Linked DNA regions of Oryzias latipes. The protein of the gene in region 1 purifies or fractionates together with the protein of each later gene. This does not show direct contact. Links are inferred from orthologs where the notes say so. Each region holds a gene or a part of one and is shown in the gene's direction. Other genes may lie near its edges.

Region 1 (6,815 bases):
TGTGTGCATTGGTGAATGGAACTGTGATTGTAAAGCATCCTGGGCCTTCTTAGAAGGTAGTAAAGTACTATATTAGTATACAACATTTACCATTTTAATGAAGTTGAATTTGAATATGTATTTTCAGTTTTATTTCATCTTAAGTCTCTTTGAGCAACAGCTCTGCTGCTGGCAGCTCACATCCAGATAGATTACTGTAAGCCTGCAAATCTCTGAGTCCGAGGCCAAGTGTGGACAGGTGACAGGCAAATTACCCCCCCCACACACACACACACACAGACACACCACCTTCCTCTGCTGCATATGAAAGCTATAATTGAGTGGCCGCGTGTTCCTGCATTCGCCTGAGCTAAAAATCCATGTGGGCAGCACATAGACACATATGCAACGGCATAATGTACATGGTCTTACAGCACGTGTGCTGTGTAACTTAGTAAGGTAAGCGCTGTCAAATACGAAACTCCTATTGTCCTTTTTTTTTTTTTTTAATAAACCAATTACCTGAAACCCAAGAAGAATATAAACAACTCTAAAAGCAAGAGTTGTAACAATGAATCGACTTAATTGATGAATCGATTTATATACAATCCAACACATTGATTTGTCTGAAGCAAGTTGGTAATCAAATTGACCTATATCATATTGTTTAAAGGTCTGTTCATAGTTTCAAAATGAAATAGATTGATTATACTAATATTGGAAAATACCATTAAGGCACAGCGGGTTTATTTTACTATAACATAAAAACGTACCATCACAGCGGACACACATGCAACGGCGGCAACATATGATCAAGCCATCATTCCAGCTCAATGTGTGGAAATACTTTGAAATTTTCAAAGACACAAGACCATACAGGGTGGTAGTATCTTCTAATAGTTTGTATTATTTTGATGTGGAAAAAAAACAGTGGGCTGAACTTTAGGAAACTAAATTGTGAATGGATTTGCCATTAATTCTTGTTTACGTATGTGTTTGTACACTTAGTTTGATTATCTTGCAAGAAATACAAGGAATCGTCACCTGCACTGTTCAGAACGCAGGTATTTATGTCTGAGTCTGAATTGTTGGCTAAAGACATCCTGGATAGATTGTAGCTCAGTGAATTGGATCGTTCAAAATGAATCAATCTTGAAAAGTATCGGTAATTCTATACAAATCGAATCGCTGTTGAAATGAAACGCTACACCTCTAATAAATATGTATTAGCAAAGATGACTTTTTTTAAATCACCTTTGAGCTTTAATAAATGCAACACTTTTTGGTTCTTCTGTCCATTCACTTAGTGAATGTCAGTTATCCAAACAAATATTTCTATTATTTCCAAGTACATGTGACACTGAAGTAACTTCCTCATCTGTTTCCTTCTGAGCTGACTGTAATGTTTACTTTGTCATATGGCTGTGTGTTGCTTTAGTCATGCATGCATTTGCAACACCTAAAGAGACTGCATGTGTATGCAATACTATACTATCTATGTAATTACAGCGACAGTCTGCGCTCCGCCGTCCACTGTGTGCGTCAGCTGCTCTCAGAATGGAAAGCTTCAGGACTGTTTTTTTTCACTACCTTCAGCGCGCACTTGACTCCAGTCTTCTTATTGAAGCACTCCAGGACTTTCCCATTGATCCCCAGGCCCAGAACCTGACTGGAGATTTTGTAATCGTCCGTCACTGCGTTGCGTTTTATCTCCAGTTTGGTGTGAACCGGCATGGGGAAGTGTGAGGGCTCGGAGTCCTTGTCGTCCGCCGCGGGACCGGGTGAGTCACCCTTCGTCTCCCCCGTCTCTTCTGGTTGCGGCAGCTTTTCCTCCTTAATATTTCCATTTTGAAGCATGTTCAGCACCTGGGATCTTACAGGGGGAGGTCAATTCTCCAGCAACCCTTCCGGACCAGACCTCTAGCCGCGCCGCATCGGCTCGTCCAGGACTCCAAAGGAAATCTTAGTAAAACTCGCTAAAGTATTTCACATAAAAAAAAAAAACAAGTTTTTCTCTCTTATCGATCAAACCTGAAGTATACGGCTTAAGTAACCTGTCCGGTCAGGAGAGTTCTCCCAAAAAAATCGAAGCGGATCGGTTTACAACAACCGAAAATAAAAGTCCGGTCTGCTGTCTGTGACACTGACAGACCAGCAACTCCGACCTGCAGTTGATCTTGAGTCTCAGTCACTCTCACGTGTTCCTTCAGCTCCTGTCACTGTTTGTTTAAGCCCCACCTTCCTTCCTTTATTCATTCATTCAAGGCGACAGCTTTAAAGGAGCCGGACTCAAACACACTGATCAATTTCTTTTCAGTGGCATTTCATTCATTGCTAGTGATCTGTGGAGGCCAAGAAGTCTCAAATTTAGTTTTTTCAGACTGGTGTAAAAACAAGAAACTTCTAGAAATATCAACTAACTCTCAGAGTATTATTCAAATTGTACTTCAATAAATTCCAGACAATAACACGCATTTTGTATCACTGTTGTGGGAAAAAGGGTTCCTTTGACCCCTTGACATGACACAAATTTTTACTTTGTTGGCATTTTGTGGCCACAAACTAGGTTCTACAAATTAATATTCTGTAGCCATAAATTTTTAAGGAATTAATCACACCAAAGTAGTAATTTGTGTGCACAAAATGCTCACTTGAGGCGACAAAATGTTACAATTTCAAAACAAAAAGTTAATCTGTGCCCACAAATTGTCAATAAAATACCAATTTGTTGTCAATAAAATACCAATTTGTGGCAACAAAATACAAATTAGTGCACACAAAATTACAATTTGTGGTCAAAAAGTATTGTTCTTAGGGAACAATCTACTCATTAACTTTGAATGTCATGTCCAGGGCTCTGTACTTTGACTTTTTTTTTTGGGGTATATTAGTTTGGCATGAGTTTTTATTTGCATCCTGCAGTGCACCAGTCATTAATATGTGTAAACAAGACAAATAAAAACTTTTTGGGACTAAAGTGGCATTTATTATTTTGATTGCATTGGTTGGCTAATGCTGTAGAAGCATCTCTCCCTGAAATTGCTTCTGTGGTGCTACACAAATCAGCGTACTCTGCCTTTTATTAAAAAAGGGTGGTGGTGGGGGGGGGGGGGTGATATTTTTTATTGGATGTTTCTTTTTATGTTGTGTGTGGATGAGACAATCATAAAACTTTTATGAAGGAATTAGGGAACAGTACTGGCTTAACAATACAGAGAAAATTATTTGATAATAGACATTCATGTTATAGCAACAAGTAACAAGAGAAAAAGCAAGTTTGATATGCACTCGATCTAGCCTACTCCTTCCATTCTCTGCTAGTAAAACTATGTTTAAAATGTTTAAAATATTAACTTGGAATATACTTTTTAGCAACTTCTAAAGGTTCAGTAATTTCCTTTAAGTTGGCACTCAGCACATTTACAAAAAAACAAAAAAGAAAAAGAATTCACCCAAGGACAGGGAAAGTTTCCCTGCAGCTGCTCTGACCGTGGAACTGTTATCCTCAGATGACAATGAAGAAATCTTTGAACCTGTTCATGCCCATGAAAAGAATGTTTGCTTTTAACAATGTTAAATGTAATTCTTACATTTTTTGCACAACATTCTTTGAGACTCCACCATTTATCATACATGTGCAAAATTTGTAGTTAATCTTCAAACCTTTTGCATGATCATTGGATGATATTTATTTGTATACCTGCATTACATTTTTTTACAGAAACGACTTGAAATGATCAGTTTTATTTGTTTTAATAACACTCTTTCTTGTAAAAATCTAAAGTATTGTTCTTTAACGCTGGTAACCCAATAACCTATATAGTTTTTATTTATTTTGTTTTTATTTGTTCAACTTTTCTTGTTTTATTCGTCTGTTATATTTACCTGGATGTTTTTAGTCCTTTTGTTTTGTATCCTGTAGTAGTGAAATAAAGTTTTAGGAAGAAAAAAATCATTTCCGCTGGAGTTGCGCACGCGCATTGCTGAGGTTTTCATGGCGGCGCCCGTCGAAGGAAAACATGCAACTGTGACTTCAAACTGGTAAAACTGTGGTGGTGAGTGCAACGTATTATATTAAGTATACACATATTGAAATCCGGGCAGTTATTGTCCGTATCTTGGGAGAATTAACATCTTACAACGTAGGTGCTAACTTTAATTTGAGTTGGCTAGTAAATATTTCGCTTTCCTGGTGGTTGGTGGTTCGACCTTGGCTTTTTTGTTTTTCAATTTTCGTTTTGATTTAACACTTAAATCTTTTGTTTTTTTGTGGAACAATTCTGAACAATAAAAGATTTGGATATTTAAACGTTTGCAAAAATCCAGATAGGAAGCTGAACAACAAACAAAAACTAGCTTAAACGGCGAAATTGTAAAACATCAATAAAAAATAAAACACACCAAGAGAGAGAAGTTAAAGGAAAATACTACAAATGTACCACAATTTACAAAATTTTAAGATTTAATTTTGTGCTCTATCATTTCTGACACCATTTGGAAAGATTTTCTGTGTCAGGGTTGTTTACCTCCAGGCCTCCTGCTGATTATCAGGTTGAGGTGTTTTTCCAACAAGAAGAAGCTGAAAGAGCAGAAACACAAGCGTGACATCGACCGCGTGAGGACTGCAGTCTGAGACCTGTGTTGCAAATCATTCAGAAGGACACACGCACATCAGTAATCTCTGCTTAAAACAGCATGTTGGTTCTTCGGGAAACAGATTTTTGTGGTTTATTTGTTTCAGTTTGACGGAGTCACTGATGTTTCACTAAAATGAAAGCTATCAACAAAGAGGAGACTTTTCACCGTGTCGTGTTGAAGAACGCTTCACCGCACCACTACATGAAAGTCCACCTGTGAGTCTCTGTTCAAGATTAATGTTCTGTCTTTAGTGTCTGCCCAGCTCTTAGAAGGGAACTTCATCTGTATGTTACCACTTGTGTTTAGTGAACTGGAGGATAACTCAAACAGATTGAGTGCAGTAGAGCTGAAACACTTCATCATCGCAGGCCTGAAGAATCTTCATGGAGAGGTGAGATTGTGCACTGAAAAAGAAGAACTCAATTCAAAAATAAGAGCTGTCAGCGCAATGAAGCGCTGAATACCATTATGAATGCATTTCCATTGAAGACCCCTTTAGATGAAAATGGTCTTTTAAACATGTTCTTGGGGCATTTTTCTGATGATGGAGGACATATAATAAGAACATTAATCTAAAAATCGCATTTCAAAGTATGTGTTCAAATAGTTGGGAATCAGAAGCAGACGAAATAAAATGCAGTTTAAAAAAAGGTTGTATTTTTACGTAGAAATTACAATTGGCAGGCCGCATGCCCCCTGCTCCACTCCATTCTGATGCATCCACACACAGTCGAATAGATCCGTGTATGTCTTTGTTTTCCTCGTCCGAGCTGGTATTTGGCTCAAAACTGTACGTCTGGAAAGCTCCAATATTGCTCTCCATTTTTGTTGCACCTTTAATGTTAGGCTGGGGTTGTGAGAGGCTGTAAGCTAGTGGGAGAGTGTTTAAACAGAAGGATGATGGTAGGTTTACTCCATGCCAACAGTCCCACCTGCAACTCTGAGAATTCTAACGAAGTTTTGCTGCTCTGCAGAAATTATGTCCTAGAAAGCAACACAGATTTTTTCACTTTGGCTGGAAAAATCAACGACTGCACTATCACAATGAAAAGTCAACTGGAAACGCTTTTATAATGCTGCTGTTTGCATAAATGTACCTCAGGTTGGAGCAGCGTTGAACTTTGATGTGTTGAAGTATGATGAAGGAAGTCTGACGGCTCTTCTGCGTGTTCACAGCAGGTCAGCCTAAAGGCATAATTGTCAGAATTTCTAATTCACATTTCAAAGTTTGTGAATGTTGTGTTAATTATGCTCTTTTCTCCCCCCCCCCCCCAGTGGTTTAGTGAAACTGTGGAGCTCCCTGACTCTGCTCGGCTCTTATCAGAACCAGAGCTGCGCCTTCAGGGTGCTGCAGGTCAGGAAACATGTTTTCTACATTTGGTGATTGTGAAATAAACCATTTTGTCAGTGGAGCGATCAAATTACTGTTGGTTTTAACTCAAAATGAGAAATCTGCTTACCTGCTATTCAGATGTAAATAAAACTCCCCACTTTGCTCTCAGGTGTCTCCGTTCCTGTTGGCGCTGACAGGAAACAGTCGTGAGCTGCAGCTCCACTGAAGCGGGAGCTGCTTCTGGTTTGAGTGCAGCCATGTGGAGAAACATCATCAAACTCGGTTTGTCTTCTGTCGCGGCGGCTCGTCCTCACAACCGGCTGCTCCACGTCGGACAGCGAGCTTCCCTCACCAAAACGTTCTCCTTTCGCCACGTCGAGCTATTCGCCGAGCTCACAGGCGACACCAACCCGCTGCATGTGGACCCAGCATACGCCAGCACCACCTCCTTTGAGACGCCCATTGTGCACGGCGTCCTCATCAACGGGCTGATCTCGGCCGTGCTCGGCACCAAGATGCCCGGCCCCGGCTGCGTCTTCCTGCACCAGGAGATCCGCTTCCTGGCACCACTTTACGTTGGAGAGGAGGTGCTGGCAGAAGCAGAGGTGTTCAAAATCAAGATGTCGTTCGCCTTCATCTCTGTGAGGTGCTCTGCTAAGGACAAAGTGGTGATGGAGGGGGAGGTCATGGTGATGATGCCTGTGGAGCAACAGCATCAGGGAAAGTGACTGGAGGACATCCAGATGCAGCAGATTTTGGTTTCAAGTTTGGTTTTAAATGAGGTCTAAAGACGCGTGTCAGTCGTCTAGCTGAATTTTTGTTTTTCTTCATTAGAAAAAGTTATTTTTCTAACTTTTCAAGTTTG
Region 2 (6,933 bases), on another chromosome or scaffold:
GTCGTAGAGCAGAACACCCTCTAAAACACTAGACATTCTAGAACAAAAGATATCTTAGAACCAAAACCTTCCAGAGCAGAAGACTGACTAAAACAGTTATTATCAAGAGCAGAAAATCAAACTAGAATCCACTCGAAAACAAAATCCATAATAGAACAGCAGACTTCATAAAATGGAAGATAAAAAAAAAAGAATTTCCAAGAACAGAATGTCTCCCAAAACAAAAGACCTTCTAGGAACGGAAGACAAAGTAAAATCGAGGATCTCCTGAAACAGCAAAACGACTAGAACAGTAGACCATCAAGAATGGAAGACCTCAAAGAACAGAAGAACCAAAAAAGCTCTAGAACAGAAAACCCATTAGTCCAGAAGACAATCTTAGAACATAGGTCTTTTAGAACAAAGACCTTCAGACTATGCGACCAAAACAAAAATCTTTGCAGAACAAAATGTTTTCTGGAATTAAGACTTTCTGGAAAAGAAGATAGTAGAATAATATCTATCATTGCCTTGTTTTTTAACCTATTTATGTGTTTCAATAAAAATGCTAATGTAAACAAAAACATCAACAAAAACAGTGGTAGGTTAACTTTCTTGTATGAAATTGTGTTTGCCTCTAAAAATAAACTCCATCTTCTCTCATGTAGAGGAAATCAGGGCGGGGCTAATACTTTTTCACACATCCATAGGAGATTATTCAGAACTATCAGCCATCTTCTTACTGGAGATTGTTTGACCTCACAGAGGGGCAGACACTTTTTAAGGTCACACCATGTCGGACAGGAAAACCAGAACTAGGGCTGCACGATATGAGGAAAACTTGCGATATGCGATATTAGAGATTAATATTGCGATAACGATATAATTTGCGGTATATAAAAAAATAGAAAAATGCCAAAAACACCATTCCCATTTGATTAGAAACAGTTTAAAATTACACTCCAAATGACCCTCATTGACATAGGTGACAAACATCTAACATAATAGGCCTCCATCTGATTGGTAAACAATGGGAAGGCGTCCATCTGATTGGTCAAAGCATAAAGGGATTTATTTGATTCGTTAAATGCTTCAAGCTGCTAGAAGATTGTTTTAACACATTTTGGGTTTACGATTTATTGCGATATTCGCAGTCTTTTGCGATATGCCTATTGCAGAGCTGGATATTGCGATAACGATAAATTTGCGGTATATTGTGCAGGCCTAACCAGAACCCTCCACAGCTGTGGTCTATGCATGTGAGTGTGCACGTGTGTGTACCCAGGTTGATTTTGTGTTCGTATTTCCTCAAAGCTTTGTCAGACGGGGTCGAGGACGAGATCATCTTATTCGACGGGTTCTGTCTGTTTGCCTGAGAACAGTGACAGAGAAACAAAAGGGCAGTGGGATCAGACTCATTATCACTGATAAATAATTCTGAACCGTGACCGTGATGTGACTTCTTTAACTGAAAAGGAACCAATATACCCTAACTGACATTTAACATGGCAACTAAATTTTAATGTATCTGGATCAGAACCTGGCAGTTGAGGCCGCTCCGGTTTAATCTGCTGGTCAGATTGGCAGCAGAATGGTACGCCCAATCCTCTTCATCATCCTCATCATCATAATCATCATCCACTTCGTCCTCCTCCTCATCACTGTCGACCCTCTGCGCAGCGACATCATTGATGAGGCTTGGTAGCAACGAAGGCTCTGATTGGTCTCTGCAGGAAACAGAAAAAGACAGACTGAGAAAGAACCAACAGGGAGGAAGAGTCCAGACCCTCAGCCAATTACAGGGAAGATATGTTCAGGTGGTGTTTGCACCTGAAAATATGTAGCCACAAGGCTACATGAGTAACACTCGAGCAGATCACTTTTGTGGACAAAAACATGTATTTGTGTAGGTAAAATTTGTGCACGTCGCTCTAATCTTGTGATTAGGATTGAAGGCAAAATAATACCAATTATGGTCAAAAAACACATTAAAATCTCTTCAGTTCCTCTATCGTTGGTCCCAAACATGGCTCCCTACTTGTGACAACATTTTCTAATGCTTACACGGCATTAAAAATCTTAAACTGCCACAAATGGATGTTGTTTTGTCAGTGGGTATGAGGCTTTGATGGTTAGAAAAGTCCAAAAAATAACATCTGAACTCAAATAGGCATAACTGTGAGGAGATACAGCCCAGAAACCTGGAGAAGACCCTCTGGAGAGAAGGTACTTGCCCCATTTGGTTACCATGGTAACAGAGAAGGCATCATCTGTCCTCCTGCACCATAAAAATCAAAGTCTTTGCAAGACCCAAACCACAGGAGGAGACAATTGTTCATGAAACACTGAGGATTTTGGATCTTCTGAAAGCTTTGGCAGTCATTTCTTATGGGATCACAGAACCAGGCCGTAACAGGTGAACCTGACAGAAGACACTGTTCTGCTCATGGGGTCGGTTCTTTCTTTTTGGCAGGATGATTTAGGTTCTGACCCGGATTAGACACTCACTGAGGAGCTGGTTTTGGCCTTTCCAGGTGCTGACTAAACTAAACAAGCCAGTCAAAATGATTCATCAGAAATGTTAGTACATGGATAATCGACTACTGGACCACTCAGAACTAGCGTTTGGGCTTGGACCCATACGACCTTTTTTCTGACATGGGGACTAGATTTTTTCCTGACGACACAGACAGAGCGACAAAGAGAACCAAACCAAACCAAACCAAACCAAACCAAACCAAACCAAACCTTTACCTGTCTACCTCAGCGTCATCAAACTGTCCAGGAACGCACGTGACCTCCTCCATGAACCCACAGCCCACGCAAAGTAATCCCGCTGTATTTGGTTGATAAGAAGCCCACCTTCACCGGGCCGCCTTGTTCGGGTGGTATAGAAGTCAACAGCGTGCTGCTCCTTCAACTTCCGGCTCTGATCACGTGACTACGGCGAACAAGAGGGGCCAACCCATTGCGGCTGCGCAGTGCTGCGTTCTGACCAAACCTCCATGTGTTTCAGTTCGCTTCCGGGTTTCTTGCCTTGCCTCCTGCATGCTTTAAAGTGAGAACATTTCCCGAGGCCCCGTGTCTGAGATCGTGCAGGAACTGCATCAGGATGCAGGACCTGAGCCGATGTCCTCGGAACCTGCTGGTCTGTGAGCGGTCCAGCTTCCAGAACGAGAAAAACAGGGTCAGCGCACAGGTGGAGCAAATGCATTTTAACTACAAGGTGAAAATTAAAATATTCAAGTCCGCATGTGAATTAGTTTAAGGAAGCAGAATGATGCATCCTCTTGACAAACTGTTTTTGAAGGCAACATTGAGAGATATATTCCCGTGTTTCTGAAGGCAGCACCGAGGGACATGATACTACTCCTGTCCCTGAAGGCAGCAAAGACTGATGATCTTAAGTAGTGCTTTTAAAAGCAGCATGGAGTGATGTTAAGTTCTTGAAGGCAGCATCAAAGTATATTCTTCTATGTTTAATATTGAATCATAGAGACTGCTGATTGGCCGTTCCGTCTTTTATTTTGGCAGGTCTTTGCGAAATTCAGGAAAATTTAGTTAAAAATTGTGACCTGTCACTGAAACAGCCACGATCTACTGCTTCCTATGCCTGTGCAGGTGTCTCTGCTACTGCCTGATTGTAGCTCCGCCCCCTCCCATCTGGATGAAACATTGAAGTCATTCAACAGTTTTTACCTGATTAAGAAGCTGCCCATCTACAAGCTGCTGAATGAGAACTTCCTGCGGAGTGCCATCTACAACGGTAACAAAACGCCCGTCTTCACTAAACCTAGCTGAGACCTGCTCTCATCTGGTCACATGACTCACCTGTTCCTATGTGCTGCAGGCAGCGTGTATGGTTTATCCCACCAGACTCGCATCGACGAGGATAACTGTGTCTCCCTAATGCCCAACGGTAAAAAGCATCACTTCCTGTTTGTTGTGTGGATCTCCATGGTCAAATGACCCTTTTCATCTGTTCTTGGATCACATGATCTTGTCTGTCTGTCCTCAGGTATCTTGACCCTGTCCCTGGACAAAGACTCTTTTGAGCTGCTGGGCTTCGAGGGGAAACCATCAAGGTTTAACCACAGGCGTTGCAGCAGATTTGGTTTGTTATGCACAACTTAACAATTTCTAAAGCGTTAGTTCACAACGAAGGTGGTGTCAAAGCACTGAGGGGTTTGCTGTGTAATCCCTGTACTGAGCAAACAAAAGCGGACAGTGGAGAAGGAGAAATTGGTGGAAAACGAGGAAGAAACCCGTTGCAGAACTAGATTCCATAAAACCAATCATCTGCTGTGACTGATTGGAGTCTGAAACTACTGGCACACTGGTCTTATGATGCACATTCTTGAATGCACGTTTAGCGCATGGCATTCACACGAGAGAAGCTGGGAGGGGCCTCTTCTTATTTTTCTTGTTCTATTTACTTCGCCACCTACAGTTGGAAGAGGCTTGGTGTGAAATCCCTAAGCGGTGCAAATCTCACGTAGCTATCCAGGCTTTTTCTTTCCCAGCTCTATTCCGACATATGAAAGACTTGGTGTCATATAATTCCGATCGGGCACAAACCACAATTATTAATTTCGCCTCCATGATTAATTTATAGCTGTTAGACAGGACAAGTTAAAAAAGCTTGCCCTGTCCTCTCCGTCACGCAGCAGACCGGCTTTTCCAAACCCGTTGGTGATGGTAGATTTTTTTCACACTGCTTTTAACTTGAAAGCTGCGTCATATGCATTTATTCTTGCATTTTCAATGATGAGGGTCTGTTCGTGCTATTCATTCACAAAGCAGGAATTTACATAAAACTTGTGTCTTCCTCGACACATTTACCGTATTCCCCCTGTCTCACTCTAACCCTCTCTGCTCGAGCGCCCCCTAGTGGCTGTTCGAAAAAAATGCCTTAAAAAAAGAAGGAAAAAAATGCATAAATTAGCCGCATCATTGAATAAGCCGCAGGGTTGAAAGCGTGTGATAAAGGTAGCGGTTTATAATCTGGAAATTATGGTACATAGAGACGCATGTTATGTAAGAACAGAAGAAACCAGCAACAAAATGAGGATCTGACAGAAATGAGTGAGCAGATCCTTTTTCTGTGCACCTGTATGAACTTCAGTGGTAACTGTGAACCTAACGGACAGCTGCATGGCTCCTGGAAGGCGGAATTACCTCAGACTTCTTGAGGGTCTGAAGTCACGCCTTCCGCTACAAACGGACTTCCTGTTGTCACATCATCCAGGTGAGTGACTCCATATTCCAGTTCAGTTCAATTTAATTTGTATAGCCCAAATTCACAACAACAGTCGTCTCAATGGGCTTCATATAGACATATGAGACCAAGCTGTGTCTTTCTCTGTCTTGCAGGGGGTGGGGCTTCTTTGCATCCCCTTTTGTCTTGCTGTGATTGGTCAGAGCACCAACCTGAGGTCAAATTCCGCAGCCTGACCAACGTGTCCTTTCCTGTCCCCGAGTCATGTGACCCTCACAGCTTCCTGCAGTGGTTGGGTGCGGTGGAGTCCGGCGTCAGCGGGTATGGCGTTCTTTCGTCGTTAGCTCATCACACAACGTGGTTGCATGATGCGTGCATTTCTGGGTTTCAGTGAGAACTCGTCCAACAGCTTCCTGTCCTCACTGATCTGTCCGGAACCGAAAACTCAGACCAACTGCGCTCTGAGCGCGTGTGTGAGCGGCATGCTGCTACCGCAAGACATCCAGCGCCTCATTGGTCAGCTCAGGTCAGCTGATGGTACACATTCAAAGCATGTGGGAGTGGGCTTGGTGTGTGACTCGCCTGTCTCGCAGGAGTCACCTGGAGCAGGTCCAGTCCTGGGCGGTGCTGACAGTTCACGGTTTCGCGGACAGCCCCGTGTCCTGGGGAGGGAGAGAGCATGGATTTCTTCGAGGAGGAGAGAACTTTTACAGCCTGCTGATGTCCCACGACCACACCTACCACCTTCACTTGGCTGCCGGCGCACACGATGCCTGCCCACCGTGATGCCACTAACCCATCAGAACCAAGAGAATTGACTGAGCTCAGACAGTGCTGGAGGCCTGACCTGTGGCTTATTCAACCTGTTAGAACTTCACCAGATCAGAACCAGTGTGCAATTAATTTAGTCTTGAAATTCTTTAGTTTGTTCCGGACTAGCAGTTCTGGTTCAACCCATGACTTACTTATCAGCAATACATTGGGAACAGAAGCAGAACCCCTGTTAGAACTAGTGCTTTTCAGTGAGAGCAAGGGGATCTAACCCGGGTCAACACACCTTTTGTGGATAGTTGAGCTGCAGCAGAACCACAGAGGCTGAGAGAATGATGTGTGGAAGATCTGCGCCTGGCATGCCTTGGTAAGCAATCAGGTGGTTTTCTCGACTTTAAAACGTTATGTGTCTGCCTTATTTGTCTGAGGGCGTGTAGGGTCAAATCCACTCTGCTCTCCAGGTAGCTTTTTCGTTTTATACATGTAAAATGGGTGGGCAAATGGTATATAATTTTTTTTCAGCAATGGTAACTAGTTTCATTTATTTTGAACCCTGGAACTGAGTCATTTTCTGACTGCACTTTTGGATGCAGTGCCATTTCCTGCCATGGGGTGGTGCCGCCGAGACGCCATTTTCTTTGAATAAATGTCATCATCGTCTTCACTGAATTCCATTTCCCAGTTACCATGTTGAATTTTGTTTCTCCGACAGGGATGTGCGAAGGGTTTGGGAGCGTCAGGTGAGTTCTTTGTGGACTCAGGTTCAGGTGCCGTTCAGGTTGGCTGCAGACAGAAGCTGGCTTTGCTGATGATTTGGGTTTGAAAGAGCGGGCCGCTGCATTTGAAACAGGTTTTGACTTAATGCTTAATTTCTTTAAAGTGGTTCAAACACTGAGATCGATGGACCTTTTGAGTTGGTTTGCTTAGTCTTTCACGTCTCTTCTTCTCAGACGTGTTGAAATGTT
Region 3 (6,378 bases), on another chromosome or scaffold:
CTGAACCTGAACGGTGTTTTGTTGATGGACTGCTGTGCTCATCACAGTTTGTCTATAACAAACTATATGTTTGAACATGTGGCATCAGGACACTCTAGTCAGGAGGTCAATGATCAACTTTGCGAACTCCCACAAACCCACCAGAGTGTTGGTGGGTTCGTGGGAGTTCACTCATCCAGTCCAGGTGTTTTGTGGATTTGGAGAAGGCGTTCAACAGCGTCCCTCGTGGTGTCCTAAAGAGGGTGCTCTGGGAATCTGGGGTCCGGGGAGCCTTACTGAGGGCTTTCTGGTCTAGGAGAGAAGCTTGGTTCGTATAGCCGGCTGTAAGTTGAATCTGTTCCCGGTGCAGGGCTGCTCTTTATCACCGGTTCTGTTCATAGTCTTTATGGACAGAATATCTAGGCACAGCCATGGGGAGAAGAGGATCTGGTTTGAGGACCACAGGATTTCCTCTACTTTCTTTGCAGATTATGTTATCCTGTTGGCTTTATCAAGCCAGGACCTCCAGCATGCATTGGGGCAGTTTGCGGCCAAGTGTGAAGCGACTGGGATGAGGGTCAGTCCCGCCAAATTTGAAGCCATGGTTCTTGACTGGAGATAGGTAGTTTGCCTTTTCTGGGTGGGTGGAATGCCCCTGCCCCTGGTGGAGGAGTTTATTTATCTTGGGGTCTTGTTCACGAATGAGGGAGAAAGGAGCATGAAATTGACAGGTGGATTGGAGCGGCGTCCGCCATTATGCGGTAGCTGTACTGGTCCATTGTGGAGAGAGAGCTTAGGCAGAAAGCAAAGCGGTCCATCTTAATGGTCGATCTTCGTTCCAATACTTTGGAATAATTTGGTCATGAGCTCTGGGTCATGACCGAAGGAACAACGTGTACAAGTGGCTGAAATTAGCTTCCTCCATAGGGTGGCTGGGTGCTTCAGAACCCCCTATATGAGAAGCTTGGTCACCCGCAGAGAGCTTGGAGTAGTCTCTGCTCCTCCACAGTTGAGAGGAGCCAGTTGAGATGGCTCGGGCATCTGGTCCGATGCCTACTGGACGCCTCCCTGGGGGGGGTTTCCGGGCATTTCTCACGAGGCGGAGGCCCCAAGGAAGACCCAGGACACGCTGGAGAGATTACATCTCTCGGCTGTCCTGGGAACGTCTCGGGTCCCTGCAGAGGTGGTGAAGGAAGTGGCCGGGGAGCTGTGGCTATTTCAATTTCAAATGAAATAAATACATTAAAAATATTGTTTTGTCGTTGAAATCGGATTTTTCTTTGTGTGTTGGATTCGTTTGACAGTCTGAAAATAAAAGTTTCATATTTTCACTAACTTCTGAAGCAGATATATCAGTTTTTGAGCTTCTTTTTAATCGGGCAACTAATATGTTGGTTTTTAAATAACAGGAAATGCTTCCTGATAATGAACTTTCAGAATTAAAGTTGTTGCTATTTAGAAAAAGGAAAAGAAAAGGTTTTGACTCATGTACTGTCTATTTTATTGATTTACCTTAATCTGTCTTTTTGGTTGGCATTGTTGTATTGAAATGTTTAAAATAGTTTAAAGATTAACATTAACTTTATTTAGCCCTGCATTCTTTGTCTCAATTGAACAGAGCAACTACATGGATTTTATTTATAACAATAATAATAATAATAAACATTCTCCAACACCAACAATACCTTTAGTGACAGTCCGAAGACCCAGCACATGGTCCGGGGAAATTTCTTTCCCCAGTGCCCGGAGTTCATCCTCCGTGACCACAGGCCACTTCTCCGTTTGGCTGCGCCTCGACTTCAGCTTTTTCAGCATGCCTCCACCACTTTTTCAATCTTCCTGCTTCGTCTCCAAACCGTCGTCTGCTTCCCTACCTCCTTTTCTGGTCACCTGTAAGGGCTTATTTCGAGAAACGTTCATATCCCAGAAACCATAAGTATAAAAACAGTTTTTCTCTTCTTAAGAAAAACGGTGAGTGTAGATTCAAGATGGCGTGAAAGATCTCACAAAAAGAGTTTGATTGGTTGAAAGCGACTGTCGTTGTCATGGTTACCAAAAGGGTCTGAATAATTTATTTTTCGAGTTTCCCCGTTTTCTTTGAGCGTGTGTTGTGAGTTAAACGGTCAAAGTTTTACTTTATTTTTAATTATAGCAGTTAATTTTTGTCTTTTTTTCCTTGTTATTTCTTTTCTTTGTCATTTCCTACGTTTGTGAAACAACTTTATCTCCTATTAGGATTCCTAAATTGTCATTTGGTTGGGAGACGTACTTCCGTGTTGCCCCGTGTCATAAGCCAAGTGCACCTAGAATCCCAGCCATACCCACAGGGCGGTGCTAGCCGAAGGACCCGGATCTGTTGACGGAAATACTCTGAACGGCATCGCAGAAGAAGCCATGGTGCGGGTGAAGTCGAGGTAAAACGTGCTCCTTTAAAGACTTTATTCCATATTTTTTGTTATTGTAGGTTATTATTCACTAAACGTGTTCCCATTATCATCAGATATTTGCTGTGCGAGGTTAATGTTTCGGAGAGCAGGGACCTGTTGCTTCTGGATGACCGTGCTGTTGCAGGGGCAGTGAGATCAGCGGTGGCCCGCATGCACGGTGACTACGGGGCGGCACTCTGTAGTATACGATTATCTGGTGAGTATTTGCGCAAGATTTGTGCATTTTTTTTTGTTTTCTCATTTCTTGAGTAAGGAAATATTAAAGATTAAAACTACAAAAATAAGAAAAATATTTAAATACAAAATATAGCAGCAATACTGAAATAAACATTACACCAAGAAATGAATCTGTTAGACAGTGTAAACTGTTACATTAATTCATACAATGTAAAGATTTCAAATACTTTTTAAAAAAAAATACATGAAATGCGTTTTTTTAATTAAATGAGTGCTTATTAAATAAAATTTTTAACTCCTAATTTCTGACAAGTTTTTCTTTGTGTTATAGTTTCATTTTTTTCTCTTCATGCACCTTTTTATTTAAATTTTCCTTTTTTAAATGTCTGCATCCATCTTTACTTCAGCATACACAAAAAAGATAGAAGTATGTTGTGAATCCATTTAACTATAACATTGTTTGGAACAAATGTTAAGACACTTGTTTCTTTACCTTTTCTGTATGTCCTTTTTTATAGTGAAATACCTAAATGTTCACAATGGAATGGTGTTTCTACGTTTCCCTAAAAGCTGTTACCAACTCCTCTGGTCTGCATTACCTTTCATCACCAATATTGAAAGTCGAGGGCAACAAATCCCATGTTTTCTGAACTGTTTGCATGTAGGAGGTAGGACATGCATGCTCTGCTTAGAAGGAACCTTACTTGCATGTGTTACCATGAGTTGTAAATAAAAGCCTTTCTAATTCACTTTTGTTTTTCTGATCTTTTTCAGGAACAATTAGAACATGTCAGAAATTTTTAATCCGCTACAACACCCAGCAGCTCCAACGAATTCTCCCTAAATGTAAAAATGCAGGTAACAATTAAGCTGAATAAAGACCTTCATGCTGAATCCTTTTTCACATTTTTCAGCATTACTAACTAAAATTCTTAGTAATTAATTTGGAATCAAATTTTGGAATTGGTTTAGTATTGATTTAGTTAAGTAAAAAGAAAACTATTCAAATGTTTCTTAATGTATTTTTTATTTCGCAGCAGAAAAAGATCAAGTTTGTCAAGAAATTCTTAATTGCCTTCCAACACGTGGAAGCAAACCAACATACGAGGGTGGATCTGAGTTTGAAGATGAAAGAGAGTGATCAAAGTGGATACCTGGTGGATAGTGCCCCCTCTTCACCAATTGGCTTACACACTCCTATTTTGAAAAACAGCAGAAATGTTGAATTAGCAGATAATAATTTGGATTTAATGTTTTGTTGCATGTGGTATTATTCATATTTTAGGGTCAAACCAAAAGGCTCGCATTTCTATATACTTTGTTTCAAAATAGTTTTTGTTTGGGCAACGGAATAATGTAAATATTCCTTTGTTTTGTTTTTAACAAAGTTGTACTTACGGAAGGGTATTGCAGTACTTGTAATAAGGACAAATAAAAGTTTGATAACATTTTGATGAGTTTGACTGTGTTGATGTGTCTTTTATCTTTAATGAAAAACCAAATGTTTCAAACGTCTTGTCAATGTCATTTTTGTGTTTTAAAGATTAATATTGTCTATTATATTTATAATATTTGACCTAAAGTTAAGTTGTGCTAAATTAATAATTTTACTACATCTCCCATACTGCCCTGCTGTTTGGGACACGGTACAAGAAACATCCGGGGCTCTCGGGTTCTTGTCTGGCGACCCGTCGCCATTACAGCACGCCTTGGATTTTCGATACAGATTTCTGGCTAAATCTTTCAAATAGCGCGTTTTCCACTTTGTGGAAGACACTTAACGCTCTGTTAAGGCCAACTATTATTCCTTTACAAGCGAACTCTGTTAGGTTCGGGAGGGGTTGGCCTCGCGTGGCGAACTTTCGTTCTTTCCTTTGACAGCGCGTAACTTGAGACGCCAAAATCGTGTCTCTATTTTTTCCCCTCTGGTTTGTTTATAGTCAAGATGTCGCCGTGATGGGGTCTCCGCGTTTGACAGAAATGAACCAGGGCCGTCGTCGCCTTACTTACGCTCACTGCAACCCATTTTCCGTTTTTGATGCTAGAGAGCTCAGCGGCTCTCTTCACGGAGCTCTGCCTCAACACAGCTCACTGCACGGAGAAAAACATGGAGAAAAACCCCAACAGTACCAAGGTTCCGCCCCGTTGGACTTCTGCGGGTCCCACACCGGGCGAATCTAAACCCAAAACCGGTAAAGTCTTTATTCTGAACACTTCGCTACATGCACGAGGCGCTGTGAGCGTATAAGCTCCGCATTGTGGCCTTTTGGGGCCTAGCTGTACTGCACAAGTTGTTTATCAGCAAGTGACGTCACTCCCAAACCATTTGACCTATCAGCTCTTGGAGCTGCAGCTGGCATCTGCTCTTTCAAGCAATTGACTTCCATGATCTTTATCCAATTTTAGATGCGTCACCCATAAGTGACTTGCTCTGGAAATAGTTACAATTAAAAGTTAGTTACATTACATTAATAGTTACATTTAATAAACTTCTGAAGCCGATAAAAGTTTTAGAACTTATTTTCAATCAGAACTTCTATTAAGTTGGTTTTTAAAATAACAGAAATTCTTACTGATTATGAACTTTCAGAATTAAAGTTACTGAGATTAATTTGTAATGCTTATTAACGTTTCTTTGTCAAGTGACAAATTACAAGGACAATAACGATCTCTAATATACAGTCTTGAGATAATGAGTTTCAGATTAAACTATATATATCAAAGGCATTCTTTCTTTACTTTCAAGTTTATTTATGATTAGGGAAAATAACAGAACTTTTAAGAACATTACTTATTGCCATGATTCTAATCAGAAGCTCTTTGTTTAATCAAATAAAGCACACGATTAGATTTTAATTTTAACTATTCAACTCCTATAATAATTTGTGCTTGACGATGGGATTCATAGTCGTTATTTGCTCATTTTGAACTCATATTTAATACAGTCCGATTCTCTGACCTAAAATTGAATCATAGAAATATAATGGTTGATTTAGTTGATTATGCGTTATACCCCTGTTTATAAAAACAAAACTTTTTAAAAAGCATATTGAAGCTTTTATTAAACAATTTTTTTATCTTTTAATCTAAATTTCAGATGGTAAAAATAATGGAGGGTCGAAACGTTTCAGTCGTAAGCGTGAGCCCCCCTTTCCTAAAGCAGAAAGTTTTCCTGGTCCTCGTCGCACCAATACACAGAAAAGCAAAAATTTTGACAAGAGACCCCCTCAGAGAGGTGGAGGACGACAGTATGGAGCTGCAGGTGGAGGACGACGCGAAGAGGTTGGTTATATAAAGAACAAATGCTCCTTGAATGTACAGAGAAAGCAACATTTTTTGTAACTCATCAATTTCTGGCTTCCCAGGTAGCAGAGACACGCCGGGCTGAGTTTAGCCCGGCTCAGTTTGCTGGACCGAAGAAGATAAGCTTGAACCACCTGCTTAACTTCACTTTTGAACCTCGTGGAGGTAATGGTGGCATCGGAGATGGGGGACCCTCTTGTTGGGGTCGCCGTAACAAATGGGGCCACAAGAACAAGCCTTTCAACAAGGAGCTTTTTCTGCAGGCCAAGTAAGCAGGTTTTGAGGCTATCAAACTTTTATCTGTGAATGTTAAGCATGTGTATGTCATCCTGTCTTTGTGGTTCAGTTGCCAGTTTGTGGTGTCTGATGACCAGGACTACAAGGCTCACTTCACTGATCCAGACACTCTTGTCAACTGGGACTGTGTGCAGCAAGTTGTAAGTATCTGTTGCTTTTGATTGAAGAAATCAAT

Evidence for each region.
Region 2: the proteins of rpp14 (region 1) and rpp40 purify together in Homo sapiens (co-immunoprecipitation; 3 studies listed by BioGRID and IntAct, with this or other methods). This does not show direct contact. The link is inferred for Oryzias latipes from reciprocal best matches to the Homo sapiens genes RPP14 and RPP40.
Region 3: the proteins of rpp14 (region 1) and pop5 purify together in Homo sapiens (co-immunoprecipitation; 3 studies listed by BioGRID and IntAct, with this or other methods). This does not show direct contact. The link is inferred for Oryzias latipes from reciprocal best matches to the Homo sapiens genes RPP14 and POP5.

Annotation. Positions count from the first base shown.
Region 1 is NC_019863.2:25,338,223-25,345,037, reverse strand, and holds the start of rpp14 (ribonuclease P protein subunit p14), read left to right. Parts: upstream 1-3,142; 5' UTR 3,143-4,034; intron 4,035-4,530; 5' UTR 4,531-4,749; coding exon 4,750-4,832; intron 4,833-4,923; coding exon 4,924-5,008; intron 5,009-5,719; coding exon 5,720-5,796; intron 5,797-5,892; coding exon 5,893-5,971; intron 5,972-6,119; coding exon 6,120-6,176; 3' UTR 6,177-6,207; coding exon of another isoform or gene 6,208-6,678; 3' UTR 6,679-6,815. Other genes in the region: MAP kinase-activated protein kinase 2, read right to left, coding at 1,570-1,836; hydroxyacyl-thioester dehydratase type 2, mitochondrial-like, read left to right, coding at 6,208-6,678. UniProt on the Homo sapiens protein: Component of ribonuclease P, a ribonucleoprotein complex that generates mature tRNA molecules by cleaving their 5'-ends.
Region 2 is NC_019875.2:13,399,543-13,406,475, forward strand, and holds the start of rpp40 (ribonuclease P protein subunit p40), read left to right. Parts: upstream 1-2,973; 5' UTR 2,974-3,091; coding exon 3,092-3,205; intron 3,206-3,600; coding exon 3,601-3,745; intron 3,746-3,829; coding exon 3,830-3,898; intron 3,899-3,997; coding exon 3,998-4,093; intron 4,094-5,104; coding exon 5,105-5,227; intron 5,228-5,352; coding exon 5,353-5,518; intron 5,519-5,588; coding exon 5,589-5,723; intron 5,724-5,790; coding exon 5,791-5,983; 3' UTR 5,984-6,933. Other genes in the region: riok1 (serine/threonine-protein kinase RIO1), read right to left, coding at 1,261-1,351, 1,520-1,706, 2,734-2,786. UniProt on the Homo sapiens protein: Component of ribonuclease P, a ribonucleoprotein complex that generates mature tRNA molecules by cleaving their 5'-ends. Also a component of the MRP ribonuclease complex, which cleaves pre-rRNA sequences.
Region 3 is NC_019867.2:21,475,346-21,481,723, forward strand, and holds pop5 (ribonuclease P/MRP protein subunit POP5), read left to right. Parts: upstream 1-2,243; 5' UTR 2,244-2,373; coding exon 2,374-2,393; intron 2,394-2,479; coding exon 2,480-2,622; intron 2,623-3,121; coding exon 3,122-3,271; intron 3,272-3,377; coding exon 3,378-3,461; intron 3,462-3,640; coding exon 3,641-3,744; 3' UTR 3,745-4,054; downstream 4,055-6,378. Other genes in the region: unc119b (protein unc-119 homolog B), read right to left, coding at 1,665-1,794; rnf10 (RING finger protein 10), read left to right, coding at 4,642-4,795, 5,701-5,885, 5,969-6,174, 6,253-6,343. UniProt on the Homo sapiens protein: Component of ribonuclease P, a protein complex that generates mature tRNA molecules by cleaving their 5'-ends. Also a component of the MRP ribonuclease complex, which cleaves pre-rRNA sequences.